Arabidopsis thaliana: one gene and its partners. The protein of the gene in region 1 interacts with the protein of each later gene in a pairwise test. Each region holds a gene or a part of one and is shown on either strand. Other genes may lie near its edges.

Evidence for each region.
Region 2: the proteins of AT4G23930 (region 1) and PGSIP7 interact in a protein complementation assay, tested with the Arabidopsis thaliana proteins (one large-scale study listed by BioGRID).
Region 3: the proteins of AT4G23930 (region 1) and RLP55 interact in a protein complementation assay, tested with the Arabidopsis thaliana proteins (one large-scale study listed by BioGRID).

What each region holds. Positions count from the first base shown.
Region 1 is NC_003075.7:12,432,581-12,442,253, reverse strand, and holds AT4G23930 (Late embryogenesis abundant (LEA) hydroxyproline-rich glycoprotein family), read left to right. Parts: upstream 1-5,426; 5' UTR 5,427-5,559; coding exon 5,560-6,123; 3' UTR 6,124-6,254; downstream 6,255-9,673. Other genes in the region: FtsHi1 (FtsH extracellular protease family), read right to left, coding at 413-610, 682-931, 1,020-1,132, 1,225-1,583, 1,721-1,835, 2,009-2,204, 2,322-2,374, 2,455-2,583 and 6 more; UGE2 (UDP-D-glucose/UDP-D-galactose 4-epimerase 2), read right to left, coding at 8,588-8,687, 8,825-8,916, 9,037-9,119, 9,203-9,281, 9,435-9,662.
Region 2 is NC_003071.7:15,007,630-15,020,062, reverse strand, and holds PGSIP7 (Nucleotide-diphospho-sugar transferases superfamily protein), read left to right. Parts: upstream 1-5,778; 5' UTR 5,779-5,992; coding exon 5,993-6,336; coding exon of another isoform or gene 6,337-6,340; exon of another isoform or gene 6,341-7,811; coding exon of another isoform or gene 7,812-7,831; coding exon 7,832-8,292; intron 8,293-8,372; coding exon 8,373-8,520; coding exon of another isoform or gene 8,521-8,524; exon of another isoform or gene 8,525-8,597; coding exon 8,598-9,138; 3' UTR 9,139-9,356; downstream 9,357-12,433. Other genes in the region: OWL1 (DNAJ heat shock N-terminal domain-containing protein), read right to left, coding at 197-586, 680-757, 848-928, 1,217-1,270, 1,355-1,439, 1,578-1,666, 1,753-1,839, 1,926-2,040 and 3 more.
Region 3 is NC_003076.8:18,559,015-18,569,268, reverse strand, and holds RLP55 (receptor like protein 55), read right to left. Parts: upstream 5,937-10,254; 5' UTR 5,702-5,936; coding exon 4,424-5,701; 3' UTR 4,348-4,423; downstream 1-4,347. Other genes in the region: AT5G45780 (Leucine-rich repeat protein kinase family protein), read left to right, coding at 57-128, 211-354, 429-500, 600-659, 738-811, 893-1,039, 1,130-1,468, 1,550-1,941 and 1 more; AT5G45775 (Ribosomal L5P family protein), read left to right, coding at 2,773-2,775, 2,865-2,972, 3,068-3,110, 3,198-3,393, 3,790-3,988; AT5G45760 (Transducin/WD40 repeat-like superfamily protein), read right to left, coding at 6,264-6,353, 6,434-6,858, 6,947-7,024, 7,095-7,137, 7,234-7,290, 7,393-7,452, 7,538-7,600, 7,690-7,751 and 2 more; RABA1c (RAB GTPase homolog A1C), read right to left, coding at 8,630-9,059, 9,731-9,951. UniProt on the Arabidopsis thaliana protein: Involved in plant defense.

The DNA of each region.
Region 1 (9,673 bases):
ACAGATGGAGAGAGTCAAGAGAGATCGTTGGTTGTATGACTATGACCTGTATCTGTAGAAACCGAGAAGAGGGCACGAGGAACAAGAGCAAAAGAAGACGGATGAAGAAGAAGAAAAAAGGTAAGAAAGAGAGTGCATGACTCGTGTTGTTGCTGTCTTGTGTGGTTTGAAACAAAGAACCAAACTTTTTGTCCGTCGATTTCCTCGGAATTAAAACTTTTTTTGTTTCTAAATTTATACTTAAGTTTGTCTAATCTATTGTTAGCAAATCAAAGAAGTGTCTTTGACCCAAGTTTTTTTCTTTATTTCTGTAAATTTAACTGTCCGAAACTTCAGAGATTGAGTCGAAGTTACAATGACGGACAATGAATAAACCTAAGCTTAGTGATTTGATGTCTCTGGGACGCCGGAATCATACTTGAGCATTGACGTCGGTAGAGTGATTAACAAGGACAAAGTCGCCGGATTCACGCCGGAGATGTTCAGGGACAAAAGGAAGACTTCCCGGATTTTGCTCTTGTAAGAGAGAATTTAACGGAGTCTGAGGAGGGTAATGGTCAAGTATGAAGTCTATTGCTTCTCCACTTATCTCTTTCTGGTTCAATAGAACCTACACATGGGAAAATAAAAGTATGAACAAATCAAACGAAAACGCAATTGCGGTTAAATGTTTGAAATTACCTTAACGGTTTTGAGGAGAGCGGTTTGGTTTTGCCTGAGGAGAGAAACTGTTTTGTTATACATCTGGCTAATGAGTTCTTCGCTTCTATGTGCGACTTCATCATCCATGTTGAAGTTAACTGGCGGCTCGACGAGGTCATAGTCGTCATAGAGAGATCCTTCAAAGTCTAAGCGTGGTCCCACGAACTGAGGTCTCTTTCTCCATGGTGGTGGTTCGCCATGTATCACCATTGGGTTCTCCAGGTTCCATCTGAAATCCAAATATATATAAGTCTTGAGTAAGAAGAAGCTTTTACTTTAAAGGGGAATGTGAAAATATGCAAAATTGGGCCTCTCACATGGTTAAGATTTTACGAGCTAGCCATGAGGCGTCAGAGAGATAATCGACTGATGCCTTTGAAGTATCTGAACCGTAGATCACTTCTTCTGCAGCTCTTCCTCCGAGCAAGACCTGAAATAGAAATTTTAGAAGTATAATAAACTCGTAACATCGAATATTAGAGAAATGAGTGAAGAGTTTTTTTAATAGAGAAAAAGAAGCACCTGAAGACGATGAAGCAGTTGTGGAAGACGACCAAACATGTAGGACTCATCATCAAGCCGATGAAACACAACTTGAGACAGTGTCTGACCACGAGGAATGATAGAAACGCGATCGCACCGCTCAATCTTTGCATTCTCATACCGCAATAAAAGATGTGAAGTGATTGCCACTCCGACTTCAGTTGTGGCTCTACGACACTGACCTTGATGTCCCAATTCTAAACCAATACGTGTCGGACCAACAGTGAGTCGGTCCACAGCGTCGTCCATGTCTGATTGAAGAATCGAGTTATGCGTTTTCCTGACAGCTACAAGAGCAGCCTCTTGAACCAACTGTGCCAGTTTTGCTCCGGACCATCCTGTAATTGATATAAACAATTACTTTAATCAAAGTTTTATACAGGCCAATACGTTCAAACACATAAGTTGTCTATGGGAAAAGGTACACCATGAGCATAACAAATATTCTTTGCAACATCAATTGTAGATTTTATACCTGGTAAGTTACTTGCATAAGATGATAAGTCAACAGAATCCGACATCTTGACTTTGCTGGCATGAATCTTCAGAATATCCAATCTCCCTTTCGCATTAGGGGGACGGACTCTTATCTGATAAGAAGATTATTTTTAACGGTCTATCCGGTACTCTTAAGTCTACAAAATTAATGCAAGATAAATTCAAATGGCTTGCGATTGTCGTTTGGTTGTTTATTAATTCGAATAACTGCTATCAAAAATTTGAGAACAGAAGATTTAGTGTCTAGATTTTGTTAATCACAAACCTTTCGATCAAATCGACCTGGACGTAGAAGAGCAGGGTCTAACAAATCTCTGCGATTGGTGGCACCCAAGAAAATCACACCTTTGCCTGTGTCAAAACCATCAAGCTCGATGAGTAGCTGGTTCAATGTGGTTTCTCTTTCTTGTGTGGCCGCATTGTACAACTGGTCTGAGTTTTCCTTGAAAATCCCTTGACGTCTAACGAATACCAAAATATAAAGAGCGATATCAGTTAAACTCCGTCTCAAGTTGAAAAATTATGCAAGGAAGGTAGTATATCAAAATCTAGATACAAGGGACGAAAATATTGTATACCGAGTTGCTAAGGCATCAATTTCATCGATGAAAATAACGGATGGCTTGTTTACCTGCACAAGGACATAGACATCATCAAATACTATTTAACATCTCTGCACAGAAATGTATAAATACACATATGTCCAATCACCTTAGCTCTTTTAAACAGATCTCTGATACGAGCTGACCCAACTCCAACAAGAACTTCGACGAATTCAGATCCTGCCATTTGGTAGAACGGTACACCAGCTTCCCCCGCAATGGCTTTTGCAACGAGTGTCTACGAAAGCAAATCAGGTTAGGTTAGGCTCTATATTGCTAGCAACTGGGTTGTCAAAAGATCCTTGTAGATAAAGCTAATCGACTACAATAAGAGGTAAACTGATCATTGACAATTGTATAAAACATTGAGATTTTATAAGATCTCAATCGAGAATAGGAATCAATCATAACTTGTTAATAGCAACTAAACATTCAAAACTTTTTTAAGACAAATTTCAGGTTTAAGTTGAAGGAGTAGTGATGATATTGCCAAACACTCAGCATACTCTGAAATACAACCATCAACCTCAGCAGAATTGATCTCAACAGGCACCACTGCATGTTTGATTATCTATAGTATTTCTTAGTATTCTAAAGTATAATGCTGCTACAAAAATACTATTCAATACTTAACAATAAATCTTTTCGATTGGCATTAGCATAGATGGTTACACATACCTTGCCACAACCAGGGGGACCCTCCAGAAGAACTCCATGGGGAGGTTTAATTCCCATTTTATCAAACAGGTCGGGATTCTTCAAGTACTTTACAAGCTATCAAGAAAATGAGATAATCGTAATGAGACTAAGAGGTTAGTAAGCTTCAGATCCCGGTTTCTCTCGAGCTTCCAAGATTCAACGAAATAATGTCATGCAACTTTATACTTGATGGGGTAGCAGTGAAGCCCTAATGGTAAGGGTTTTAGAGGCTAAGCTAACCAAGAATGCACATAATAAAACAAGAGATCCATACTCAGGGAAGAACTGGCGCAAGCATACTAAAGTAATTGCACGAGAAATTTGGTCAAGCGATACCTCTTGAAGTTCATCAACTGCTTCATCAATCCCTGCAACATCAGCGAATTTAACACCGGTTGAACCCTGAAATATAATCATTGAAGTCATAAAAAACTCAACCAAAAAAGTATTAGAACTGAAGAAACATGCATATAGGAGTAATGGTTAGAAACTTACATCAACACGAGCTTCTGCTTTAGACTGAGAAAAAGCAATCCCTTGCCATAAATCCTGCAAAAACATTTGAAGTGATTGAGGGCGCAAGCGATATCAATAGATTCTGCAAAAAAGTGTTGAGTGATTAAAGTATTATACCCATTTCCTAAAGTTCTTTGGTCTCCGTGACAGTGTGAAACGAACAAGAAGAACCATAGTCATGACAACAAGTAGGATTGGTTTGAGCATCTCCAGACTTGATGCTACACCACCAAATGTATAGAAATCAGAAATCCTTGAGAAGATGCCCCCATCGGCGAGAACATCAACAATGTAATCCCATGATTTTTCAAGAACACCAAGGAAGACGCCAACAAAAAGTTTGAGGAATGGCTTTGCTATAGGCCAAACAACATATACTGTAGTGACAAAGGCGAAACTAGTGACTGCAAAAACAGCTGAGGCTAAGAATCCTCCAACAACAACTGCGGCTGCAGCAATAACTGCTGTCACCATTCCCAGCTCAACCATCACTCTACTTGAAATAGAAGACGCAACAGGGTTTGGGAAGTCCGCCACTTTTCCAACCCAAGACTGCAAACATATAAACTCAGTCAATAACAGAACAAAATAGATCTGTTTGTCAACCTAGTGAATAGGTTATGAAAAATTCCTAACCAACACAATACAAAAATATTGAGGACATTAGATTATATAATCTAGTAGATAAGATCTAAATGAACAAAAGCGTGATCACCGTCATGTGCCTTTCAATTTCGTACTGCGGACCCGTGTATTCTTTCAGAAGAGCTTGAGCTTCTCCAACTTCAAGCTTCATTGACCTATCAAGAAACAGATCAATAAGAAAATCATACCAATATTCTCCATACATCAAAATTAAAACTTTTATTCTTCTTCTTAATCCTAGTAATTCACCATTTGGTTCTCTGTAAGCTCTTGACTCCAGGAATCTCCTTAAGATCAACAATAAAACCTCTATAGCCACTCGTATAAGAAACACCAGAAACTTCCTTCGATGTAAGCAGCTTAACTTTATCATTCTCCATAGCTTTTCTAAAATCTTCCAAACTCATCTTTGGTAAATCTTTCACATTTTTCTCAAACTCCTCTTCTTCAGATAACTCTGGCCCAAAAACTTGCTCCGGAACATAAAGCTTTCCTTTGTACTCCCTCAAAATATCACTCAAATAAACAGACTCTTCGCTTTTGTCTGTCTCTGTTTTCTTCTTCGAATCAAACTTCCTTTTGATAAATTCAAACGCACCCGTCGCCGCATTGGTGCCTTTGCTTAAATCTTCTCTCTCCTTCAGATTATACAGCTTATCACCAACTCGGTAACGAGGTTCCACTTGGCTAGGATTCTCCTTCAAAACCCTAGTTACGAAATCGTCAGCAGCAGGGGAATTGTTCGTCTCGCCGGAGCTAGATGACCCAGTTTTCAATTCGCACAAAACTGTAAACGACCGACGCAGAATTGGAGCTCTCCATCGAGTTTGAGTTCTCGCGGAGAAACTCGATGTAGTCGCGTGTTTCAATATCGATCTCTTGGGGTTTTCTGGGATTGAGAACCGAGTACCGAGTGAGAAAACATTGTCTATAGACGCCATTTTACGACGATAACCATGTACAGAAGAAAAAGAAGCTTCACTAGAATCGCATTGCGAAATTTGAATCTCTCTTCGTTCTGGATAAGAAAATAGAGCAATCGGAGGTTTATTCAATCTCAGGAGGTTTTTGTTCTGTTAGCTCTAAATTACAACAATTCGACCCGACTTCGAAACCCGGTTTCTGTTCCGGGTACATTGTTTGTTCACTAAAATAATTTATTTAGCTCTAGTCGGCCACCTTCGCTGCATCACACACACTTAAGTCCAAACTCCGTTGTAACGTTATCACTATGTCCAAACAAAACATCCTTTTGCTTTTACACGTCGTTTTGCTTTCCCTTTAACCAAAAATAAACTCTTTATCCCAACTAGTGAACACTTAAATCATCGCTACCAAACATCTCCACCGAGAAATGTCGAAGTCTTGTTCAAACCTCGCTTCATGCGCCGTCGCCACGCTCTTCATAGTCTTCTTAATCATCGCCGCACTTACTGTTTATCTCACAGTCTTTAGACCGAGAGATCCTGAGATCTCCGTCACTAGCGTCAAGGTTCCTTCATTCTCCGTCGCTAATAGCTCCGTTAGTTTCACCTTTTCTCAATTCTCCGCCGTTAGAAACCCTAACCGCGCAGCTTTCTCACACTACAACAATGTAATCCAGCTCTTTTACTATGGAAACCGGATCGGTTATACCTTCGTACCTGCTGGTGAGATCGAATCGGGTCGAACCAAGCGTATGTTAGCTACTTTCTCCGTTCAGTCGTTTCCTCTCGCGGCGGCCTCTAGTTCTCAAATCTCCGCCGCCCAATTTCAAAATTCGGATCGGTCCGGGTCAACAGTGGAAATAGAGTCGAAGCTGGAGATGGCGGGTCGGGTTCGGGTTCTCGGTTTGTTTACTCACCGAATCGCGGCTAAATGTAATTGTAGGATCGCGATTTCCTCGAGTGATGGTTCCATCGTAGCCGTCCGTTGTTAATATTAAAAAACAATTGTAAAAGTGACATGGTTATTTTTCAAAAATACATGTATGTGAAGTGAAACCTCTTGGGTTCTTTTCTGAATCCATCAAGTTAGAAAATTGCAAATATTAATACAAAGCTATTGTACTTTTAGATTTTGTACGTATACTAAATTACAACTTAACACGAAATTTTCGGTTGCCAATTGTAATAGCCTTAACATTAGTCTACATAGATATGCATGCTTTCCATATTCTTTGTTTGGATTAACGTTTTCTGTATAGTAAATACACTTATAGCCATAACGTAGGGCCGGGTATTCGGGTATGCGGGTCGGTTCGGGTAATACCCGATCGGGTACGGGTATACTGTTCTAGAATCCAATAGAGTAAATAGAAAACTTCGGTGGTTCGGTTCTAATCGGGTTTGGGTTGGTTCGGGTATAGAATTTTAGAACCGTTAAATACTCGAAAAAAACGGGTATCCTTCGGATTCATGTATTTTATATCCAAATACCCAAAAATTTACCCAAATACCCGAAATTGTACCAAATACCCGAAATTTGTACCCAAATAGTCGATAATTTTACCCAAATACCCGAAATTATACCCAAATAGTCGAAAATTTTACCCAAATATCTGAATTTTACCCGAATAACCGAAATTTTGTCCAAATATCCAAAACATTTACGAATATTTTGCATATATAAAATATTTAGTATTAAGTATTTAAATATAGGTACATTTAGTTTTTAGTAATTATTATTGGATATTTGGATATAAATGTATTTGGTTCAAATATTAAATATAAAATAAATTTTTATATGTATAAATCTATGAATAAGTATATGTAATTTCGGATAAGTTGATACCCTTTCGGGTATCGGGTTTGGGTCGGCTATTATCCTATATCCACGGGTACAACAATCTAAAACCCAATAGGGTAAATAGCTAATATACGTACCCGCCCCAAACCGGTTTTTCGAATCGGTTTCGGTTCGAGTTTTCAGGTACGGTTTTTTTGCCAAGGCCTACCATAACCTATATTTATTATTTCTTATTTAAGACATATACTTATGTTTTCTTATCTATCTTTTTTTACCGCTTTCTCCGTCTTCTTCTTATTTACTCTACATAATGAATCAATTTTATGATGTTTACATTGCTAAACAAAGTCTATATAATGTGATATGCGCATAAACAAAATATGCTTATGTTTTGCTTATGTTATGTATATATTTTGCTTATGTTATGCATGTATCTATATCTTTATAATTTACTATCATCTAATCTTTTCATATTTCTATAAAGATTGCACTTTCTTCTCTCCTTCGTGATCTTCGAGAGAACTTGTTCTTTAATTAATAAAAATTTCTTTAATTACTTTTATGATGTGGAACAAAAACAAGCTAAATATGTAAACATTGCAAACGCAATCGTTTGGACCATCGTCTATCTACTACATGTGGATCCAATTATGTTTGTAAGTCTTTTTTTTTATTGGGACTCCTACCCTCATCACTAATGGGATTGGAGTCTTGATCATGGGGATCTATTTGGCCGCATATATTAGATTTTGCAAGCACTCTACGCAGCGATTAGTGATTATCATTTTGGTACTCGAGGTGGTATCTGTAACTACATTTGCCACGTTGGCTTTAGGTTTCATCGAATCTTTGGGTCTTCGGTGATTTGTTATTGTGGACGTCTGTTGCGTTTTCTCCGGTGTCTGTATTGGTAAGTTTAGTTTATGAATATCAAAGATTAATAAATATCCTCGCATTACTAATACGAAAAAAAATTAACAACGAAATAATGATAAACGCAAGTGAAAGTTGTAAGAACTAAGAGCGTCGAACATATGTCGTTCTTGGTAGGGTTTGCAATGTTTGCAAACGCAACCGTTTGGACCGTCATCTCTTTACTGCCGGTTGATCGTATCATGTTTGTAAGTCTTCTGTTCTTTTAAATTGTTAGTTCACTTACATTAAATTTACCTAATTTTGATTTTTCAGTATTGAAATTTGATTTCTTTGTTCTTCAGGTTTCCTTTGTGTTATGCACAGTACTTGGCTTAGTCCAATTAGTTGCGTATGCCGTGTATTACAGATCGACTCAGATGTTTGATGAGCTCGGAATACAATTATGGTTGTGTGTTTGCTTTTGGTTTTGAGTTATGTGCGTGATTTGTTATAGATATTTGTATTTTTGTGTCGATCAATAATGAATGAGTCACATTTACAGACATAAATATCAGAAAAATAGAACAAATACACACAAATGCAAGAAAAAAAACTCCCAACGATTGAAAACTAACGATTTAATAAATATAGTTTCTATGATAAATTGATAGTACAAGAATTTTCCTCAATTTCTTCTAAAGTTTGGGTACTTGTCAGCCTTTCTCTTCTTTTTTTTTATGTGTTTGTTTATATGAATATAAGTAAGCAAAAAAGGCAAAATAAAAATTAAAAAAGGAGAATTATGAAGAGGAGCCATTGGAGGAGGAATTGTAGCCGTAGGGGTTATTGCTTGCCCAATTCCATAGATCCCTACACATCTCCTCTATCCCATTCTTAGCCCTGCATTGACACCATACCAAACAAAACAAAAAACTGCCTAAATACCAAACAATTACATCGAAATGTTGATGCATTGATTTTATGTTTGTCATTCATATACTTATTGCTATTATGTTAACAAAATGAAATGAGCTTACTTCCAATTTAGTTCGCGCTCTGCTTTTTCCGTTGAGGCGTAAACAACTTCAGCGTCTCCAGGACGTCGTCCAGCCATCACCAAAGGGATTTTCTAATTGGTAATAAATCATAAAGTTCAAAATCAGTTCTCAAAATATGGGTATCGAAAGGCAAATAACTGGCTCACTTGGTAAGAGTATTGAGCTAGTAAAACAAATCAACTAAGGTTTACCTTTCCGGATGCTTTTTCAAAGGCAGCGACCATTTCTAGGACCGATGTTCCATTACCCGTTCCAAGATTGTATACCTCACAACCTGACCATAACAAGTATTAAGCCTGACCAATGGCGAATAATGATGAGAGTAGAAACATCAAAGAGTTTTAAGATAATCCTTACTGATTTTGAGATCATCTAGCTTACGCAGAGCAGCTATGTGTCCATCTGCTAAATCCATGACATGAATGTAATCTCTAACCTGAAAGAAACACAACAAAGATGAATAATATCTGTTAATATAATTCACAATTCGTTGTATTATCTCCCATACTCCATAATATATCACAATTTAAGATTGTAATGTAAATCTGTCAAATGGTTTGTTGTCTATAAGACATCATAAGTCACATACCCCTGTACCATCCTTTGTCTTGTAGTCGGTTCCAAAGACAGTAAGGTGAGGTCTCCGGCCAACTGCAACTTGTTGGACATAAGGCATGAGATTGTTGGGAACTCCAAGAGGATCTTCACCAATGTAACCACTAGGATGTGCACCAACAGGGTTGAAGTATCTAAGCAATATGATCTTCCATTCCGAGTCAGAACGATGTACATCCCGGCAAATCTCTTCGATAAAAAGCTTACACAGCA
Region 2 (12,433 bases), on another chromosome or scaffold:
ATATGTAAAAGAAAATTGATATCTAAAAAAAAATCGATATCTAAATAACCACACGATTACATAAATTTTTTGGCAAACAAGAATGCTTAATTTATTGAGAAAGAAATGAATGTGTAAAAGAGTTACAAATCCCCGAAAGAAGCCATTCGTTCGTATTAATAAAAACAACAAAGTGGAGAGTACCGTTTTCATACTCTCACTGGCCTTCTTGTGGTATACTCAGCTCTTCATAGTCACCAACTATTACCTCAAATGGCTGAGAATGGTAAGTGTATGCAATGTATAACTGCTTAGGTTGGCCGGGACAGGGATCGCAAAAACCCATGATCCCTGATTTCTTCACTCCCTCATGGAGCTTGAGCTGCCCTGAGTCACTCACAAGGAAGTTCATCGGCACTGTCACGTCAATGACTCCCGAATCCAGTCCTTCCACTCCTTCGTTTCTTCTCTCTATTGCTTTTGGGTCACCATACAACGCTTTCGTTACTATGAGCCCATCTGTTTCAACTTGACGGTTTTTCTTCCTTGTGGCTACGGTTTGTAGCAATTGCTGGGCTTTCTCAGCCCTTGCCCTTGCTTCCCCAACCTAAAACCCACAGTTTAAACAAATATTCATAATAAGATCATCTACAATTACAAGGAATCTCGCTTGGCTACCAAACTCGGAAGTAACAATCACCTGGCCCCAAGTTTTCTCCATATTCTCCAAGGCCTTTTGTTTTTCTCTTTTAAGCAAATATGGCTTCACCACAAATTTCTGCGTGGAACAGTGAAAATGTTTAATAAGGTAAACAGCTTATAACAATAGACCAAAAGTAGATTATATTTAGAGGGTCCAATCACTCACCTTTAACAAAAAGTAAAGAGATGTTGGAACAATGAATGCTCCAGTTGCAAATACTGGAGCTAAATGTGCGGAGAGTAGAATCTGCACGTTTCAAAGATAATCATCATGAAGGTGTCAAAAGTGAAAGACTTCCCCAGAGTAATACGGATGTTTGTCTTTGTCCATAATTGAGTTGGGTAAAGGTTTCAGAGAGTCAAGGATAATGCTCTAGAATCCATCCCTAGGCTTTTAGGATTGGTCTTTGGTTCTATTGGTTTATGCTTTTTTAATATATTCTACTCCACAGATTAAGACACAATCTGTTCGGTTCTTATCCGAAGACAGCAGACATGACACCACAAGAAAAGAAAGGAAGAAAGTAACACTCACGGGAACAATCAGCTTTTGGCTACCACGGTGTAGCTCTACTTTCCAGAAAATACCCTACAAACAAAGTATAAGAGTACCGGAAATAAGCAGATTGCATAATGGCTAAGATGGCTCCGAAAGTTTTAAAGAGTAGTTTACCTTGAGTCCTACTGTATACATCATTCTTACTGTACTGAACTCAGAAATTTGCCTTCCACCACCGAGCTCAATCTCAAGAGCATTGCTGAATAAGTTAAAAAAAAAATTCCAAAGTAAAATGAGAACAATGATTGCGCCACACATGTAAAGACAACTTAAAAAATGATTTCTATCCTCTCGCACATCATACATTAGGTTGCTCGGGATTGTCAATAAAACATACCTTCCGATTCTACCCACAATGCGACCATGAGATTTGGATGAAAGTTTACGAGTATAACGAGCTGATGCTCCGAGTCCACCAGATTCAATCTAGTAATAGCAAGATTAGAGCTAGGGAAAGTAAGAAAGGTGGTCGAGGTAAGAACAGTCAGAATGCAATTTGGTACTCAGCCTACCTTAAAGTCACCAGCAGCAGATACATTCTCGTCTCTCTTTTTCCATCCAACTGTAATTGCTGATCGCATACCCAGTGCCAGTTCAATCTGGATGAAATGAACTATTTTAAAATCGAGAAAACTGCTTTCTCGCCATCTTAGAAGGTTTAATCAAAACAACAGAGCGAACTTACATTTCCGCTTGAAGTTTCTGAAAGCTGTCGAGTCCACGTGTTGGTAAGATTGATGGAGCCATCACTCAAAGACTTTGAAATATTGATTGTGGCAGTTGAATGTATGGTTAACTGACTGCCCCAACAAGAAACCCATAAGAGTCACATAAACCGAAACCATAAAAGATGCCCAGAAATAACTGGAAAAACTCATGAGCCTACCGTGTTGTCTGCACTCCAATAAGCGACTGCAAACCCGTTGAAGCGACAAACTCTATGGATGACACTGGAGAAATCTGACGTCTCAGTATGGCAGTAGCGACTCCGCCACCAGACTTTTCATTGGCCGCCAAATTTCCACCAATGGCAATTGCATCATCTTTTGACAACTGAGACTGCACTTGACTAGCCATAACCATTCTGAAAGTTGCAGATACAAGCACAAAAGAAACGAAAAGGCATCAAAAACTACTTCAAATGAAACAAAGTAGTCAGGGCTAGTGTTGAGCAACCAAAATTCTCACACAAGATAACTAATACACACAACTAGATAAGAAGAAAACAGAAACAAGACCAAATCTTTTCTCAATAAACCATTTGCTATCAAAACTTTCCAGACTAGTAAGTGTCTCCAAGGTCAAATTAGGAACCCAAATCAAGAACCATGCTACCAAAAATACATCAAAACTTGAAAAGAAGAAGAAAATAAGTACCCTCTCATGATGCCATCGCCTACTAAAAAATGTGGGACAGACAAATTGAAGAGAATAGAACCAGTGGGTTGAAAATGAGCCATCTTCTTAGCTTCTTCATTTCTCCTCTTAATCCTTTCAAGCTCCTCTTTGATCTCATCAGCCTTACTCAACCTAGGACCAAGCTCTAATCCTGAATTCAATCCTTCCATGCCATATAAGTCATATATTAGCCTCTTAGTCTCATCCGACAATATCTCATATGCTTCACATATCCGTTGGAAATTCTCCGTAGCTACTTCCTTCATCTAACCACACAAATTCTAAATCAGCCCACTCGAAAAAGCTACTTCCTTTATGTAAAGTATCCAAATTTGATATCACGAAGATCAGAGGCGAATTGAAAACAAAGAAGATTGATTCGGGCAAACCTGAGGAGATTGGATCTTGTCAGGGTGATAAACTTGAGCCCATTGACGATAAGCTTTTCTGATTTCTTCGTCGGAGGCCTCCGGTGATAAATTCAGGAGCGCGTAGAGTTCTCTGTTGGGTGGTCCCGTCGGAGCTGCTTCTTGGCCCATCATTGCTTAAGATTCAATCGATTCAGTGATTGAAATCTCGATAGAGACAGTCAAAGGAAAGTGATAGAAGAAAGAGAAAGTTCCGGTGCCGGAGGGTTTTAGGGGTTTTGCGGCGGATGAGGTTTTTTGACACCGCTGCTCTCGGCTTTAGCTCGCTTGTTGACGCTTTGACCCTTGCTTGATTCCCAAGTCCATTCTTCTTTCTTTTTCTTCGTCCCCAATTCCCTCGTAAATTCTACTTTTGACATCTTATTTTATAAATTGTTCAATTTTGACCCATTTCCATATGTTAATGGGCCTTAAAATGTCCATAAGGCTTCGGCTAAAGCTACACATTAATCTTGACCCACAAAACAATCGATTTCTAAAGAGATTAAGAAGACAAGATTAAAGAATGTTGGACTAAACATATATCCAACAATCTCGGAGAAATAGAGTCATAATCTTCTCTTTCAGGCGTTTTGTCAAACTTATTGGGCTTTCTTTGGAATCCATCTTGAAAATAGTTTGCATGCTAAGATCTTAACGGTTGGACCAAACTCGAATTTGAATACCTGAATATTGTCCGTTTGATAACAATGGGTTTTGTTTGGACCGAATTCAGATGTGAGATTAAGTAATTCTCTAGCCTAATGTGTTATGTGGATACTTGAAAAAAGGTAATCAAGTTTGCATTTAATTGTAAGAGTTAACTTTTGTCATATGAAGATTTCGATTAAGTTGTGTTTTATTGAAGCCTTGAAATAGTAGGTACTCCTGTTTTTCATCATCGCAATCGCAAAGATTGGCTCATGAAACTCATTGTAGCAACTAGCAACCTTTCGATACTTAATAAAAAGAAATAATGTCAACATGGTCTTTAAACAATAAAACAAAAATGTACATAAGTAGAAGTCAACAGAAAAAGGAGACACTTGGTTGGATCCGTAAGCATCTAAAAGACAATTTCAGACAATTTGGACCGACGCGGTTTCAACACAAGATAAGAGGAGTCGTGTCTTGTTTAATCAGTCAACGTTTACTCGACCCTTTCCTTCCTCTTTCCCTTTTCTCTACTTTCTTCCCCCAAATTTCTGTTCTAATATACGATAAAGATGTTTTTTGTTCCATTTATTAGTTTTGTTCCTAGTTTTTATTTATAATTTAGTAGTTTATAACTATTTAAAATGTGCAGTATTTTAATTTGTTATATTGGTTGATTTTTTATAAATGAGAAAATACTTGTTGTTTCTTAATCTTTGTGATTTTAGCCAAAACGTTTTTAAGAAAATGGGATAGAGGAAATATAATACAGCCTATTGCATGATGAAATGATACAACACGTAATCTTGATATGTTGTACAATATAAATATCCATATTGCCATATACTTAATAAAAAAATACAAGATGGGTTGTTATGTATTACTCCATAAATGTGCATATTTGGGTACGTACAGTCAACGTTGGATATCTGCCTAAAACATACAATGAATTTTATTTTCCTGTTAACCTCAAAATAAGTGGTACAAAACCAACGTGACAAGGACGACTATTAGAAAACGATAACAGTTAATGTAGTTAGGTATAATTCTAGTGTCTGAAACGATCTTTCCAATAAAATTATACTATTATGCATATTGTACTTTGTATTTTGCTAAGTAATTGTGAATCAAACGTAAGAACATTACTTTCCTCCTCTCTCCTCTGACTAATATAGGGCTTCTTACCGTACAGTCTTGTGGATGTGACTCAAAACATCTGTACAAGAAATTTGTGTATTTTCTCACTATTCTTGGTCCAATCTGAGTATTTCTATACAGTATAGTATAATTTTTTCCTTATTTTCGGATTTTCCATTCACTTTTGTTGGAATTTTTTTCCAGTTTAAGAGATACAGGAAAAAAGTTCTCCTCTTAATTACTCTAATTATTAAATTTACTAATCCTATTTCAATTCCTCTCATTTCCAGTATTTCAATCCACTGATCGTCCAATATGCAATATATTTTACCTTTTTAACACACAATGTTAGTTTCTTGACAGATTTGACTTTGAATTTTGGTGGAGATTAGTAAAAGAATTAAAGAAATATGTAGTGGAAATATAAAAAATAATGAACTGGGATGAGATTACACACCAGACACCACTTGCCAAGAGAACAACGGGCTCAGTCACATGGTCCTAAATTGACCATTTCCATAATATTAGCTGCCAACAAAATACATAAAATAAAAATACGGTTACTTTCATAACTCCCCTTTTAATTTATTAATATTTTAAAAATTAAGCAGACCTTAATTCATCATCTTTTAGTGCGTTACAAACTAACAGCGTTACAAATCTCTCTTAGTCCAAAAAATGTGACTAAAAGATTTCTCTTTTAAACCCTTAAAAATCTGGAATCAAAATCTTTTATATTTTCAAATTTTTTTGGAAACAAATAAGAATGTAGAATTCGATCAATATGAAAGAAAAATGAACGGTGTTAGATTTGCTTTGGAAATATGTAAACTAACAGTAATTAACTTGTTTTAGTCATTAGCAACTAATACAGTAATTAACTTGTTTAAAGTAAAATTAGAGCAACCTAGGAATATATGCTCAACTTTTTCGTTTTCTTCTAATTGTTAAAATAATGTTGTCATTGGCCAGTCGCCATTATACCTTTTTAACCCTTCACAGTCTCCCAGAAACCTCCCTTTCTCTTTGATACATTCTCTGTATATATATATATACGCGTATGCGTTTACACATTCTTTAAAAGTTTCAGATTCTAGATAAATTCTTTTCATTTGATTTGTTTTAGCAATTCGGACATTGTACAGAGAAATCAAGAATGGATTTGCAGAGAGGCTTTGTGTTCTTGTCTTTGGTTCTATCTTTTATGATAATCGAAACGACGGCGTATCGAGAGAGACAGCTGCTGCTGCTGCAACCACCGCAAGAAACGGCGATAGATACCGCAAACGCGGTGGTGACGGTTCAAGATCGAGGTTTGAAGACGCGGCGACCGGAGCATAAGAACGCATACGCAACGATGATGTACATGGGGACGCCAAGAGACTACGAGTTCTACGTTGCGACACGTGTTTTGATCAGATCGTTGAGAAGTCTTCACGTGGAAGCTGATCTCGTCGTCATCGCTTCTCTCGACGTTCCTCTCCGATGGGTTCAAACCTTGTAAGTCTCTCTTCCGACCATCTTAAACGCTGTCGTTTCGAAACTTGACCACCAAACTATTATTAGGCTGGAATATACAATTGCTATTAATTTTTAAAAATTTTTTTACAAAACATTCGTAATTTTCACTATAATGGCATCGTGCGTGAAACAGCAGGAGTTCTAAAAACAAATTCAAATGGTATTTTTCTATATATATCAACATTACTTATTTAAGCAAAGGGAAAGAAAAAAGTAAAGATAAGAATTGGTCCTTGTCTAGTTGTATTCTTGAATATATAAGCTAATATGAAAACAAATATATTTCAGTTTAGCTTATAGAAACAAATATTTTAAGAAGTTATAGTTGGCAGTGGCACAGACAGATACACCTTCCCTTTCCTCTACGTCCTTCCCTGGTTGGACTCTTGAGTCTTGATTCACTTTTTTCTCTTAGAAATTGAAGTTAGCTTAGAAAATTGTTCGAATGAGACAACGACCACCTTATTCATAGAAAATATCGAGACAAAAGCATATTAGTTTTTTTTATTCTATCGTTTTCTTTCTCTTGATTGGCTTCACGAATTAAAATGGAATTTTTTGAGTTCATTTTTTGACCTTACTATTTTGGTGTAAGTAAAAGTTGGAGAGAAACAAATGTTTGAGTATTTATGGTTGACAGACACTTAGACCAACGCATTTAACTCCATTATATCCTCTCCTATTGGTCCTATATAGTATATGACAACGCGCCTATCTGTATAGAAATATATTTGTGTTTTAAAAAATCAATTCTCAAAAACTCGTTAGGTGTCATCTAGTTTTGAAAAACTTCTTTTGTTTTTTTCATATTAAGTTTTTGATTAGTTTAGTATTTTTATAAGTTAAACAACAATTTTTAAAAACATATTTAATAGGCATGTAGGTGAATTAATCATTTGAGTTTCTATGGACAGATTAGACTAAAACTAAGTGGTCCGGATGGTATTAACCACCAAAACAATCCAGTTTTCAAAAATTTAGAAATAAACCATAGATTAAGTCAACAATTCATTATGCACCCAAAAAAGTTGAAACAGGCGTAGAGATAAAGAATATGGCAACTAAAAGCGATCGATAGCAATAATCTTATTACATTGAATTGAAATCATATTAACTTAAGGAGAGTTGTTTGACTTTAGCGTTTTGATTGAAACCTTTTGGAAACAAGAAAGAGCTGTTTTTTTGTGTCAAATTACTAATTTATGACCGGCCAATCTGCTGCATAGATCATGCAATAACGTCTACATCTCAACCTCATAGCCTATAGTAATAATTTTTGTGTCCTTTAGAGCACATCCGATAAGAAAGATAAACCTATAATAATTGAAAGCAACATTATTAGGACTTTACACAAGAACTTCATTTTCTGATATGATTCATAAGAATATATTTATTCTAAAAAACATGCATGCATAACTAGTTTGTTTGTACGATGTTTGTGTGTGTGAATACTAATGAGCCTCTTTGTGAGCAGGGAAGAGGAAGATGGAGCTAAAGTGGTGAGAGTTGAAAATGTGGATAATCCATACAGGAGACAGACCAACTTCAACAGTAGATTCAAGCTTACTCTAAACAAGCTCTACGCTTGGGCTTTGTCTGATTACGACCGTGTGGTCATGCTAGATGCCGATAACCTCTTTCTTAAGAAAGCCGACGAGTTGTTCCAGTGTGGGCGCTTCTGTGCGGTCTTCATTAACCCTTGTATCTTCCACACTGGTCTCTTCGTGTTGCAGCCATCAGTGGAAGTGTTCAAGGACATGCTCCATGAGCTACAAGTTGGAAGAAAGAATCCTGATGGAGCTGATCAAGGTTTTCTTGTCAGTTACTTCTCTGATCTTCTTGACCAACCTCTCTTTAGTCCTCCGAGTAACGGATCTGTACTTAATGGTCACTTGAGACTTCCCTTAGGCTACCAAATGGACGCTTCTTATTTCTGTAAGTAGTCTCTTAATTCTTCTCTCAAGATTTTGTCTATAATGATTAATGTTGGCTAATGTATTAACTTGTACTCTCAGATCTTAAGCTAAGATGGAACATACCCTGTGGACCAAACAGTGTGATTACATTCCCGGGAGCTGTTTGGTTAAAGCCATGGTACTGGTGGTCATGGCCTGTTCTTCCACTAGGTTTCTCATGGCACGAGCAGCGTCGCGCCACTATAGGGTAATTTTAAATTTTTAAATGATGACAACTCCCTCTTAAGCTCTGTATAGTGGCTAATAATAATGATCTTGCAATAGGTACTCAGCCGAAATGCCTTTGGTTATAATCCAAGCAATGTTTTACCTTGGAATCATAGTGGTTACACGACTAGCTCGTCCTAACATAACCAAGCTATGTTATCGCCGCTCTGACCGCAACTTAACAACGATCCAAGCTGGTTTTAAGTTGATCGCGCTTCTCTCTGTAGTTGCAGCCTACATCTTCCCATTCTTCACCATCCCTCACACTATCCACCCACTCATCGGCTGGTCGCTCTACTTGATGGCTTCTTTTGCTCTCTCTTCCATTTCAATCAACACTCTCCTCCTCCCAACGCTCCCTGTTCTCACTCCATGGCTAGGAATTCTCGGCACTCTCCTTGTCATGGCCTTCCCTTGGTACCCTGATGGAGTGGTCAGAGCCTTGTCAGTTTTCGCATACGCATTTTGTTGCGCACCCTTTGTGTGGGTTTCATTCCGCAAAATCACATCGCACCTCCAGGTTTTGATTGAGAAAGAGGTGTTGTTCCCGCGATTGGGAGACTCAGGGGTCACTTCAGGCTTCAGCAAATTGTATTAGGGAGTCTTTATTTGACATATTGTTTCTCTGTATATAAAGGATTATTATTGTTTCATTCACATTACATTTATATCAACTCACTCTAACCTTCTTTCTTTTACCTAGTCAAAGTATCAATTTCGGTAGCCTGATTTCATACTCTTCATTATTGTTTTTAACTCACTCTCTTGGATTTAAAGATTTGTAGCATGAAAAGTTAAAGAACACAAACAATTGAGCACACTCTGTTTTTCTCTCTGTTTTTTATTTGTGTCCCTCTTTGATTTTTCCTCTCTAGTTACAAAAGCCCCCTAGATCCAGGTCAAGCTGTGATGTAGCTAGAATAAAATTACAAGTAGAGACCATAGAGATTCCTTTGGATTATTATTAACTTGCCTACTAGACTTGTGATAGTATGCTTCATATAGAAAACTCCTAATTTGATGAAAAGTCTAGTCTATATTCTCTAGGGTTAGTACATTTTAAGATTAATAACGAAACCACCTTTCTCCATAGCTCCGAAACACACTTGTATGCACCTACTCATCACAGAAAGATATTGAACAAAATAATGAATCATTCACTAGAAAAACTGTAGACGAAGAATATTAAGAGCAAATTGTTTACCCATTTCTCCAAGTTTCACAGCTTTCGAATTAGGTTATCGCCGCCAAGTATAATAAATAGCGACATTTATTATAAGACGGCGAGTTTTCTTTGGGCCACTTCACCCATTGGGCTACCCATCAGCGAACTAGTCCAAATTTTTACAATATACGATCCATATATTGCTAGGTTTATTGGTCAATCACGTGTTATTGCATTTTAAAATTGTAATAAAGTTATTGTCTAAATCATCCGTTATATGTTTATTAGACTAGAATAAGAATTTAATTTCATATTTGGGTGGGTAGGGGGGGGGGGGTCCTTTTTCATGTATATAGTAAAAGCATAAAAATAAGTTATTAATTTTTAGTTGAAAAAAATAATTATTCTCTTATACCTTTTATGAACCAAATAATGAAAGTGTGTAGGTCTGTATATAAAGTAGCTTGGCCTTTGTGGAAGGCACCAATATTATTATTATCAGAGTAGAGACATGGGCTTTTGTGGTTTGTTCTAATAGTTATCAGAAGATACAAATTCCACTTTCGTCTCGTTCGTACAATGGCGACAGTACGGACATAACCTAGCACGTGTGCCTCAGCCCACCATTTCTAACTTCATCTGTAGGATATTCTCTCAACTTTTGTACGTTCCTTCTTCTTTTCACGCTTTTTATATATATACTATTTTAATGATTTTTTACCGTAAAGGGAAACAATTCAGAGGGACAATATCTTCACTCCAATTTGTTCTAGCGTGTCCCTTTAATTCCAATTTCCAAACTAATGATTACGTTAGACGTGTAAGGATAGCCTTGTAGCTTAGTGGTTCTTTTTTCTTTTTCTTTCAGGTTCTAATAATCAATAAATGATGGCACCAATTGAACCGTGAAGAAACGTCCTATGAGCGAATGGCGCGAATGTGTTGTCTTCACGAATCATACGAGAGTAAACATTGTTCATAACCAGATTTGGTATCGGGAGCGTATGTTATTAAACCGTTACTTATTAAGACTGAAGAGAAACTTTGACCTCTTATATCTTCTCATTTTATTATATGCTGAAGGCCTGAAGCTGTACACGAACAATAACGTGAGTTTTTTTTCATTTTTTCTATATGTGGTATATAAATGAATGTAAGATTAAAAAGAAAAAGTGAATGTAAGTTTAAATAAATGATTGTAGGCAATCCTGTGTTTATAATGTGTCCAGTGCTAATATAAATTACAAGTTTATACATGTCTAAAAAAAAAAACTAAATATTTGTATATAAAAATCATTTACTTGCACTTGTACATCATTAATATATGGGATAATTGTGTTTATCTACTTATAGAATTTGAAGAAATAAAGTCAAGACACATAACACATTCGAATTAAATTCAACCCAAACAAATCAAGTTGAACCACCATCTAAATAGCTTATGTGGATGCATTTGTTGTTAATTAAATAATTACCGTTTGAAATCATTAAATTACAAAATATATAAGAAAAACATTTCCAGTAAATTCATTAAATTTTTTAAAAGGTTAGAAAAAAAAATAAGATGAAAAAATGTTTTACCTCACTTATCTAGCCAATAGGTCAAAAACGGAAAGATGAAGATGATCTAGTTTTGGAAACTGGAGTATTAAGGATCTAGTCACCTAGGATTCTCCAGCTTGTAGACGTCATCGTTGGATATATCACATCAACGTGTTTAATCACATATTCATCCAAACAATACGACAGACAGGATAGCTTTTTTTATTTTCTTTCTTTTCATGAAATTAGATTAATACAAACACCCTTTTCTATTGGTGAGAGATTTACATCTGTAGTCACTTATTAGTTCAATTCATATTTATTCATTTTTCATAATCCTTACAATATTAATAATATTTATATAGTACGTGAAATTCTACTTGATCTTTTTTTCAAATTTAAATATTATTATATTTAATAAATATGAGTTTTCTTTTTAATAATATGAAAACACGGATTTAAACCGAACTACAAAGTACAAACACAACAACAAAATATCATAAACCACTAAATAACATGGTTTAGTTAATACATACATGGTTACTTTATATTTTTGTCAATAATTTGAGAGACAAATTTTAATTTTAATAAGTAATGTTCAGAAAAATGATATAATTCACAACTCTTAATTTGTTTTACAATCCTAATGTTATTATAAACACACATAACATTAGGATGGTTAAAAACACATACTGATATGGAAGAATGAAACCTCAAAAATCTTCAAAAAAACTGTAGCCATTATTTGACAATGATGTTGATTTGGCCCCATGATGTCGAAGCAACATACGGCTCACATTTAAACACATAGGCAAGTTCGTACCCCCTGCTATATATAGGGACAATATAAGAAAACAACCATTTATTCTTTTCCAAAAATATCAGAATTTCGGAAACTTTCATACTAATAAAAAATTCGTAAATTATATGCTGGTTTTCATATTTTAAATTTCTACAAAAGATTAGAAAACAAAACATAAAACGTTATATATGTATATATATTAACATGTAATTTGTAATTTAACCCTTTTAAAAACTTTTTTTTGGGTGTATTTAGTTTCAAATCTGTACGATTTTCTTAAAATTTATCAAAACAATTATTTAATGAGTACGACAATTTTATTTCATTCTATATATTTTATTTTGATCAAATAGTAAGTTTTACGGGACATTTCCTACAAATGTT
Region 3 (10,254 bases), on another chromosome or scaffold:
ACTAAATGTCTCTGAGAAACGTTTCTTTGCTGAGTTTATTGAAATCTTTAATGCAGAGAGATGGCTAGTAAAGGATTATCAGGGATACTATCTACTAGTATTGGGGAATTAACTCATCTTCATACTTTGTGAGTTAAATGAATTTGTGGTTAATCTTGGAATTCAAGTATGTGTTGTTGTAACTAATGGGGTTACTTGTTATTATTGTAGGTTACTTCAGAATAATCAGTTAACTGGTCCGATTCCTTCTGAGTTAGGCCAACTCTCTGAGCTTGAAACGCTTGATTTATCGGGGAATCGGTTTAGTGGTGAAATCCCAGCTTCTTTAGGGTTCTTAACTCACTTAAACTACTTGTGAGTTTGATGCAAAGATTCTTGATTTACTTAATGTTGCAATTGTTATTTTCTTACAAGGTTAAGTCTTGTAGGCGGCTTAGCAGGAATCTTTTATCTGGGCAAGTCCCTCACCTCGTCGCTGGCCTCTCAGGTCTTTCTTTCTTGTATGTCTTACTCTACCTAACATTACAGCTCCAGGAAATTTCTATTTCGTATAATGTTTCTTAGACTAATGTTTTTTTATTTATGAAAAACTTGAATAGGGATCTATCTTTCAACAATCTAAGCGGACCAACTCCGAATATATCAGCAAAAGATTACAGGTAAGATATGCGAAAAATGCATGATTATTAGCCGTTGCAACTTATGTGAAAGCTTCTTGATAAACTTTTCTGTTTTAGGATTGTAGGAAATGCATTTCTTTGTGGTCCAGCTTCCCAAGAGCTTTGCTCAGATGCTACACCTGTGAGAAATGGTATGTTGCTTCGAAAATTCTTTGCAAAACTTTATTTAAAACATGGTTTCGTTTATTTAACTAGCTGCAATCGATCTGCAGCGACGGGTTTGTCTGAAAAGGACAATAGCAAACATCACAGCTTAGTGCTCTCTTTTGCATTTGGCATTGTTGTTGCCTTTATCATCTCCCTAATGTTTCTCTTCTTCTGGGTGCTTTGGCATCGATCACGTCTCTCAAGATCACACGGTACATATCTAATAGTCTCTCTCTGTCTGTCATATACAATATATGTCAAGACTTTGCTAAAATCTGCATTACTTTTTATGGATTTCTTAGTGCAGCAAGACTACGAATTTGAAATCGGCCATCTGAAAAGGTTCAGTTTTCGCGAAATACAAACCGCAACAAGCAATTTTAGTCCAAAGAACATTTTGGGACAAGGAGGGTTTGGGATGGTTTATAAAGGGTATCTCCCAAATGGAACTGTGGTGGCAGTTAAAAGATTGAAAGATCCGATTTATACAGGAGAAGTTCAGTTTCAAACCGAAGTAGAGATGATTGGCTTAGCTGTTCACCGTAACCTTTTACGCCTCTTTGGATTCTGTATGACCCCGGAAGAGAGAATGCTTGTGTATCCGTACATGCCAAATGGAAGCGTAGCTGATCGTCTGAGAGGTTTTCAATTAACACATTTCTTGTTTTGTTATTCTTTCGATATATAACGCGAAAAGTTCCTTATAAGATTACATGTTTCAGACAATTATGGAGAAAAGCCGTCTCTAGATTGGAATCGGAGGATAAGCATTGCACTCGGCGCAGCTCGAGGACTTGTTTACTTGCACGAGCAATGCAATCCAAAGATTATTCACAGAGACGTCAAAGCTGCAAATATTCTACTTGATGAGAGCTTTGAAGCAATAGTTGGCGATTTTGGTCTAGCAAAGCTTTTAGACCAGAGAGATTCACATGTCACTACCGCAGTCCGAGGAACCATTGGACACATCGCTCCCGAGTACCTTTCCACTGGACAGTCCTCAGAGAAAACCGATGTTTTCGGATTCGGAGTACTAATCCTTGAACTCATAACAGGTCATAAGATGATTGATCAAGGCAATGGTCAAGTTCGAAAAGGAATGATATTGAGCTGGGTAAGTAAAAAAATTCTATGAGTCATTTACTCAACTTAGACTGAACCCATAAGGACAAAACTTAAATCTAAACCATTGGTTTTTGTAGGTAAGGACATTGAAAGCAGAGAAGAGATTTGCAGAGATGGTGGACAGAGATTTGAAGGGAGAGTTTGATGATTTGGTGTTGGAGGAAGTAGTGGAATTGGCTTTGCTTTGTACACAGCCACATCCGAATCTAAGACCGAGGATGTCTCAAGTGTTGAAGGTACTAGAAGGTTTAGTGGAACAGTGTGAAGGAGGGTATGAAGCTAGAGCTCCAAGTGTCTCTAGGAACTACAGTAATGGTCATGAAGAGCAGTCCTTTATTATTGAAGCCATTGAGCTCTCTGGACCACGATGATAGACTTCATAGTGTCTTAACTAGTCTTCTTGATTTTGTTGTCATTGTCATGGCATTAACTGTAAAAATTTGTTTTCTCAATAACTCTTATTTATTCTGTTCTTCCAAAAATAAATGAAGATTTGCGTTTCCACAGTCTCATAAAAAATTATCTATCGTTAATTTTAAAACTCATACATAATAAAGTGATTCGGCGAATGAAAGACTATTTGCCTTATGTAACTAAGAAGGCCAAATATATGCTTAAGATTATGCTTTTCTTATGGGCTTTATAATATTGGCCCATTAAACCATTTTAATAAATCAAAGGGGTAATTTCGTCATTGCGTTAATTCAAGAAACCCTAAGTACCGACCCATATAAGTTCTCTCACTTTGCACTCGACGCAGTTTTGGGCTTTGCAAACTCTACACTGCTTCGTCTCTTAGCTCGACATTGATCTCCTTAAAATGGTATTTGTTTCGTTCGTCTCTGTAGATCGATTCAATGAAAATGTGTTTAGTTCAATGGGTTTATTTTTCGGCTTTGTTTTGTTTCTCAGGCGTCGGAGAAGAAGCTCTCGAACCCCATGAGGGACATTAAGGTTCAGAAACTTGTTCTCAACATTTCCGTTGGTGAGAGTGGTGATCGTCTCACTCGTGCCTCCAAGGTTCGATTTTGTTTGTAAAAATCTGACCTTTACGATTATCCATCATTGATTTAGTGATTTAGATTTGAATTATTGTTTTTGGTTATTTCGTATAGGTGTTGGAGCAGCTCAGTGGACAAACCCCTGTCTTCTCTAAGGGTATGTGAATTTGAAATCTTTCAGGGATTTAAGTTTGATTTTGTGTTGATCTTGATTCTGATGTATGTTGTGGTTTTTGTTATACAGCGAGGTACACTGTGAGGTCTTTTGGTATCAGGCGTAATGAGAAGATTGCGTGTTATGTGACTGTGAGAGGTGAGAAGGCAATGCAGCTTCTTGAGAGTGGTTTGAAAGTTAAGGAGTATGAGCTTCTTAGGAGGAACTTCAGTGACACTGGTTGCTTTGGATTTGGTATCCAAGAGCACATTGATCTTGGAATCAAGTAAGTTTTCTGTTTCTTTTGCGATGAAAGTTTCCTTGAATTAGTTACATTAATGGCTTTGTATAATGGTTTTGGTACTTGGATTCTTCATGTATCTGTATATGTTTAAAAGAATTTCAGTTGCATCTAAATGTCAAGTCTCTAAATTAGGGGTTTTGTGAGGTTTAGTCAGAATGCAGACTACTTTGGTTTTCGCTGAGTGTTATAGTTTTTGTGGAATTTTAAGTATGGATTGGATTAAAAATGAGCCCTTTACTAGTTTTTGGTTGAATGCTAGATTTGGGTCTAGTAAAAGATGAATGCTTTACTGTTTTTCAAGGGTGTTAGATTCGAAACTGATTAACTGGTTTATTTGAAATGTTTACTGTTCTCATGTGTTTTATTTTGTGTATATAGGTACGATCCTTCCACTGGTATCTACGGAATGGACTTTTACGTTGTCCTTGAACGCCCAGGATATCGTGTGGCTCGCCGCCGTAGATGCAAGACTCGTGTTGGTATTCAACACAGAGTAACCAAGGATGATGCAATGAAATGGTTCCAGGTCAAGTATGAAGGAGTTATCCTCAACAAGTCTCAGAACATCACTGGTTAAAAAGTGTTTTGATCTTTAAAGATTTTTGTTGATTCTAGCTTATTTTAAGTTGTTATCTTTGGATGTTAAAGAATTTCTTGTTGTAGTAAATCTTTTGACATCAGTTTGGTAGAATCTAAATCTTCCAAGAACCTTGGAGATATGTTTCTTATTTTATTCAATGTCATCATCAAAACTAAAATCAATCAAAAGCAGCTCCTTTGATTTCATTGTCCTTATAGATGAATATGTCTCTGGACTACACAGTCCCTAAACTAACCCTATGTTTTGAACAAATTTGTATAAATAAAACTAAAGATACTCATAACCACAATTCATAAATACACTCATAACCACAATTCATAAATACTAAAACAGGAGAAAATAAAATAAAACATTTAGAAGGAGAGAAGGGTGAATACACAACCAATACAAAATTACTACGTCCCAGACTTCTCAAATCAAACGACACCTTTTAGCGAGATAAAAGAGGAAGAGGATTAAGAACACAAGCGAGAAAAGACCAATGCCGAGACCAAACAGAGTCTTGTTGGAACCTTTGTGTTCTTCTTCTTCTTCTTCCTTCGTCTTCAGATTCTCCGTCTTCTCCTCATTGCCTCCTTCAACGTCGTAATCGTTTTCTCCTGACAAAGATTCCTCCTTTTGCGACGGAGACCATAAAGGAAAACCGTATTTATCACACGGAGCAAGACCCTCCAATTTCAAGTTCGAGGAGAGAACAGTTTTGTTATAACAGAGCTCACTGTTCCTTCCAATTTCGAAAAAGTTGAGATTTTTGATGAAGCTTTCGTTGAATGGTAAAACTCCATGGAAGGAGTTATCAGCGAGATTCAAGTGTTTGAGGTTCTTCATCTCGGAGAAGAAACTTGGAACGGTTCCGTTTAGTTGATTCATACTTAGATCCAAATGTGTAAGTTCAGAGATAGATGAGAGTGAATTTGGGATTGTTCCTGATAGTTTGTTTGAAGCTAAAGATAAGTTTTTTAGAAAAGTTAAGCTTTTGATTTTGTTTGGTATTTGGCCAGAGAGAGAGTTATGAGATAAGTTTAAGGACTTGAGGTTTTTGAGACGAGTAATGGAAATGCGTATTGAGCCTTTGAGTGAGTTGTTTGATAAATCTATGTATCTGAGATTTGAGTGGAAAGATTTAGGGATAAGGCCAGTGAGATTTGAGTTTGAGATAGTGAGGGAAGTGAGTTTATGCATGTTTCCGAGGATGACATAAAGACGACGAGAGGTTTGGATTGGGGTTGAGGAAATGTAGAGGGTTTTGAGGTTTTTGAGACGAGCGAGGAAGAGGCCGGAGAGTTTGGTACGGTTGTTTTGGAGGAAGGAGGAGACGGCGGAGAAGGAGTGGAGGGAGATTGGGAGGTGGTATGGAGGAGAGAGTGAAGGGCAGTTAGTGAAAGAGAGGGAGATGAGAGATTTTGAGAGTGGTTTGAGTGTTTTGGAGGGGAGAGATAGAGTGGAGGAGCAGTTTGTGAAGGAGATTGAGGTGATGTGGCGGTAAGGAGAAGCGTCGTCGCAAGTTATGGACGAGGAGGAGGATTGGTTGTTGTTGTTGTTGCAGGGATCATTAGTTGGTGTAGAGATGTTGAGTGATTGGAGAGCTTTGAGCTGTTTTGGGTTTAGTGGATAGGAGGAGACGGTGGTTAAGAGAAGTGGGAGGAGGAGGAGGAGGAGCAATGGCGGTTGTGGTTGCTGCGGTTTCATAGTGGACAGAAGAGGAATGTTGGAAAGATTGGAATTTGAAAGAAGGGTCTTGTGAGTTTGTCACAGTTTAGAGACTTCTTTACTCTTAAAGAGGGAAGTGTTTGATTTGTTATTTTTCCCCAGTCTCTTAATTTTCTAAGTCTCCGTAGTATCCAAATAGAAATTACTTGTTGCTCTGAGTTGAGATTGTTAGAATGGTAGGTTATTTTTTGTTATGATTATAACATAATTTATTGAAAAATAAATTGGATTTCAACTTCGTAACAAAATCTTAATTGTGTAAATGGGACAAGAAGAAAAATCTGAAAGGGAGAAGTTAAATACACAAAAGTATAGAACAAACAAATAGTACGTAATGAAGTTGATGATAGTAAAAGAATTTAACAATTCAATAATTAAATGTAATCATTCTTTATAATTTGGTTATCAAACAAAAAAATAAACTAACTTGTAGATCAAGCAACCATTCTAATGTCAAAAATAAAAATGAATCTCTTAGACTAATAACAATGTCAAAAAGGATGAAGCTTTTAGACTATTTTTATGGACCCATCAGGCCTATTTAAGAGATTGAGTAAACCTTAACTACTCTTGTTGTGTCACACACTACAAGATTCTCAGAATCAGATTGATTCGTGCAAAGCCAATTCACCTGTTTAAGAAACACCAACAAATGTTCAGAATCAGACAAAAGAGAAAAGAGCAAAAAGAACAATGTGAGCTTTTAGTTACCTTCTTGCTTAGGTTAATATTCAAATGGAGGAGATCACTGTTATTGTTGTTGTTGTTTGGATCAAGACATTTAAAGCAATCCCAGATTTTGACTGTTTTATCATTACCACCAGAGATTAAGAATCTACCTTTCTCCTGAAACAGAGAAAAGGCTACACAAGAAACAGCAGAATTGTGTCCACCAACAGAGTAGTCTAAACAAACCCTTTTGACCACATTGTTGCTGCTGCTGCTGCTACTTCCTTTTGATGATGTTCCTTTTCGGGAAAGTTCTGATTCGATATTGATCAAATTGACAATTCCATCACCTCTAGCAACCGCACATATCTTGTCTAACTTATCAACCATGTCCATTTCCGGTATTGCTATTGAGTGAACAAACGCAGGGTTTAGGCATTGTCCCGAGTTATTATTTGTATCAGATCCTGAAAGATTACAGAAATGACTTGCAAAATCAGATTTGTTGCATATATATATGGCTAAAGAAACCAGAATTAGTGGCATAGTCTTTACCAAAGTCTATAATCTTTTGCGAGCGACCTTTTGAGAAATCCCATAAAACAAGCTTTGAATCAAGTCCACCAGTTATAACTGAAAGAAATTAGACACTTTAGAAGAGATGTGTATATATAATAACAAATCACAATAAGATATTAGTTACCTTCCCAAGGTCTCCATGGAATGAATTGTACAGAACTACATATCTTATATGTCTCATTAAGGTGTTGATTTGAGACATTTTTTCGAGGCTAGTAGAGTTTCATAGACGAGAATGGGTAAAAAAAACGAAGTAAGGATACACTTGTGTGACCAGCTCTAAGGGTTTTATAAAGGCATTTCTGACCAAGGTCGATGATCTGTGTACAAGCAAACTAATCAAACCGAGAACCGTCCCACCAAAATTCATGTTTATGTAATCTTTAAGAGTTTTAAGTATTAAGAACAACTATTGAGTGTACCTTAACATCGCCGGAATCATCTGCAGAAGCAAGAAAAGACGACCTTCCGTTACATACTACCTTTAACAAATCAAAAGATGTCAACATCAATGTCATAGGTAAATATGATAACTTTTTCGAAAAGTCGAGTTTTTAGTATCTCTACCTGGTTAACTTCATCTTTGTTGTAATTGTAACTCTCTAATGGCTTCCAAGAAGTAGCACTTAGCTATGAAATTGCATAAAGAGAGAAGCTTTAAAACTAAGTGAAGGATATGGTTATAGTTAGTTAATCAAAGTTTGAACATTTTAAATTACCGTATGAACATCGAAAGACTTGATTTCGTTTCCACAAGAAGCATAGAGAATGTTCTCATTACCTGAAAAATCAAATAAAAGTTATCACCAAATTGCAACAAAGAGAAGAAATTGAAAGAGAGAGAAACAGACAAAACACAAAGAGACAAAACCTGTCTTGAAACAAAGAGATGAAACTGGTTCTGTTCCAACATCGATGATGAATTGAACATCTTTACATCGCAAATCAAACCAGCAAATGCAACCATCCTATAATCGTATGATCGGAAAACTATGAATCTTGCGAAGTAACTACAATAACGAAACCTAAATTCATCGGAAAAAAGAGGTTTGAATTAGAGATTAAGAAACCTCGCCGGAAGTGAGAACAATTCCAGGCCGGTCACGAGAAGCTATACAACAAGTGGCAGTTGATTTGTGGCCTCTCAGCTTCCTTGGCTCTTCCATTGCCGTAGCCATAACTGTGAGTGAGAGTTTCTCCGGCGATTGCTCAGTTTCAAGCTCTAAATTGAGCTAAAAAAGGCTAACCGAAACAAACCAAAACTAAACCGGATATTTTGGTAATCCTTCGGTTTTGTACCAAAAAAATCGAAACAACAAAATTCCAACCTAACAGAAATCGATTTTAGTACCACTTAACCAAAATGAACCGATACGGTGAAACGAAATCAAACCGAAAATTATGTTCAACCAAACTGAAATCATCAAAGGCAGAAACTATTTTTATCTTTTCTTTTCAACAATTCTATTGTTTGAGATAAATATAATTTAGGGTTCTGAAAATTTGACATAGCATTTTCAAACAATAACATTGATAGATCAGATAAATAACAGAAATACACCAAATGGGCATTACTCAACCTAAAAGCAATCTTCATATTCGATAGAACCGTTAACAAAAACCGATCCTTAGGTTGTTAACAATAATTCTACTCTCTGATTAGTTCGAGCAGCATCCACCTTTCTTCACAGCTGAAACATCTTTACCGATATCGATCTTGTCTCCTTTCGATGGAACATTAGCGGATTCGCTCGCAGCTTCCATCGCCTTCTTGCTCACAATGTGGTGAATCTGAGTGAGGACTTCGGCGAAAGCGTTCTCAACATTGGTGGCTTCGAGAGCCGAGGTTTCCATGAAGTAGAGAGATTCTTTCTCGGCGAATGACTTAGCATCTTCAGTCTGAACAGCCACGAGATGGCGAAGGTCAGATTTGTTGCCCACGAGCATGACTACAATGTTTGGATCAGTGTGGTTTCTGAGTTCTTTCAGCCAAGTCTCAACGTTTTCAAATGTTGAGTGTCGGGTTACATCGTAGACAAGAAGCGCTCCAACAGCTCCTCGGTAATACGCACTAGTGATGGCTCGGTACCTATTGAAACAAAGTCAACGAAACAGAGAATTAAGTTAACCGAAACATCAGGAACACAAAAAAGGCAAGAAGCTTTACAGTTTCGAATTCAGACTATGCACGCTTTACAAAACTGATCAGAGAAATGGAGAATAGCAAATCATACAAAGCAAGAAGCTTTTCAATTTTGAAATTAAGACCAAGTAAAAGCTTCAAATGAAAGTTTAAGAATCCAACTAAAACCAATCAAGCTCTCTTACATAAATAAACTAAGCAAAAACAACAGAAGAAATCGATAATGATTGAAGAATCTTAGGTGAAATCTGAGAAAGAAGAGCTAAGAATCGTAGAAATGAAGTTACTGAAACCAATCAAGCTCTCTCACATAAACCTAAAATAGCAAAAACAACAGAAGAAATTTGATAAAGCTGATAACTTTATAATCATAATCATAGGATTCTCCTATCTTACACAAAACCCAAGTTGTCAAAATCACATACTAATCCAGATCTCTTCTTATAAAAGTGATCAATACCAATGGATCTAAATCAATTGATACAGATCTAACCTAAGCTGAAAATTTACTGTCTTTGGCAACCAAACAAAACCATAAACCCCAAAACTTCAATCAAAATGTTCTAATATAAGAAACCAGATCGAGAAATGAACAATGTGGTTGAAAAAGATGAGACCTTTCTTGACCAGCAGTATCCCAAATCTGAGCTTTGATGACTTTATCATCAACATTCAAACTCCGAGTCGCGAACTCGACCCCGATCGTGGATTTTGACTCGAGACTAAACTCGTTCTTCGTGAATCGTGAAAGCAAATTGGATTTGCCCACACCTGAATCACCTATCAGAACAACCTTGAATAGGTAATCGTATTCATCATCTGCTCTGTAACCCGCCATTGATTCTCTCCTTCAAAGCTTTTAACTTTACTCCTTCAGATTCGAGAAAACAAAACAAAGAGAGAGATAAAAATGGGTCCTTCTTTTCAAAATGAAAAACCCAAATGAGATTTGAAACTTGTTGCTCTTTTTTCCTTAGATTTTGTTTTGAAAATTTTTTCGATTTCAACAGAGAAAGACGCGGAATTGGAAAATATCAAACGAGAAAGACAAAGGACTTGTGTACTGTCTTTATCACAAAGAAATCTAACATTTGTGTGGCCAAATTTACTAAACTGCCCTGTTAACGCGTTCTGATCTATT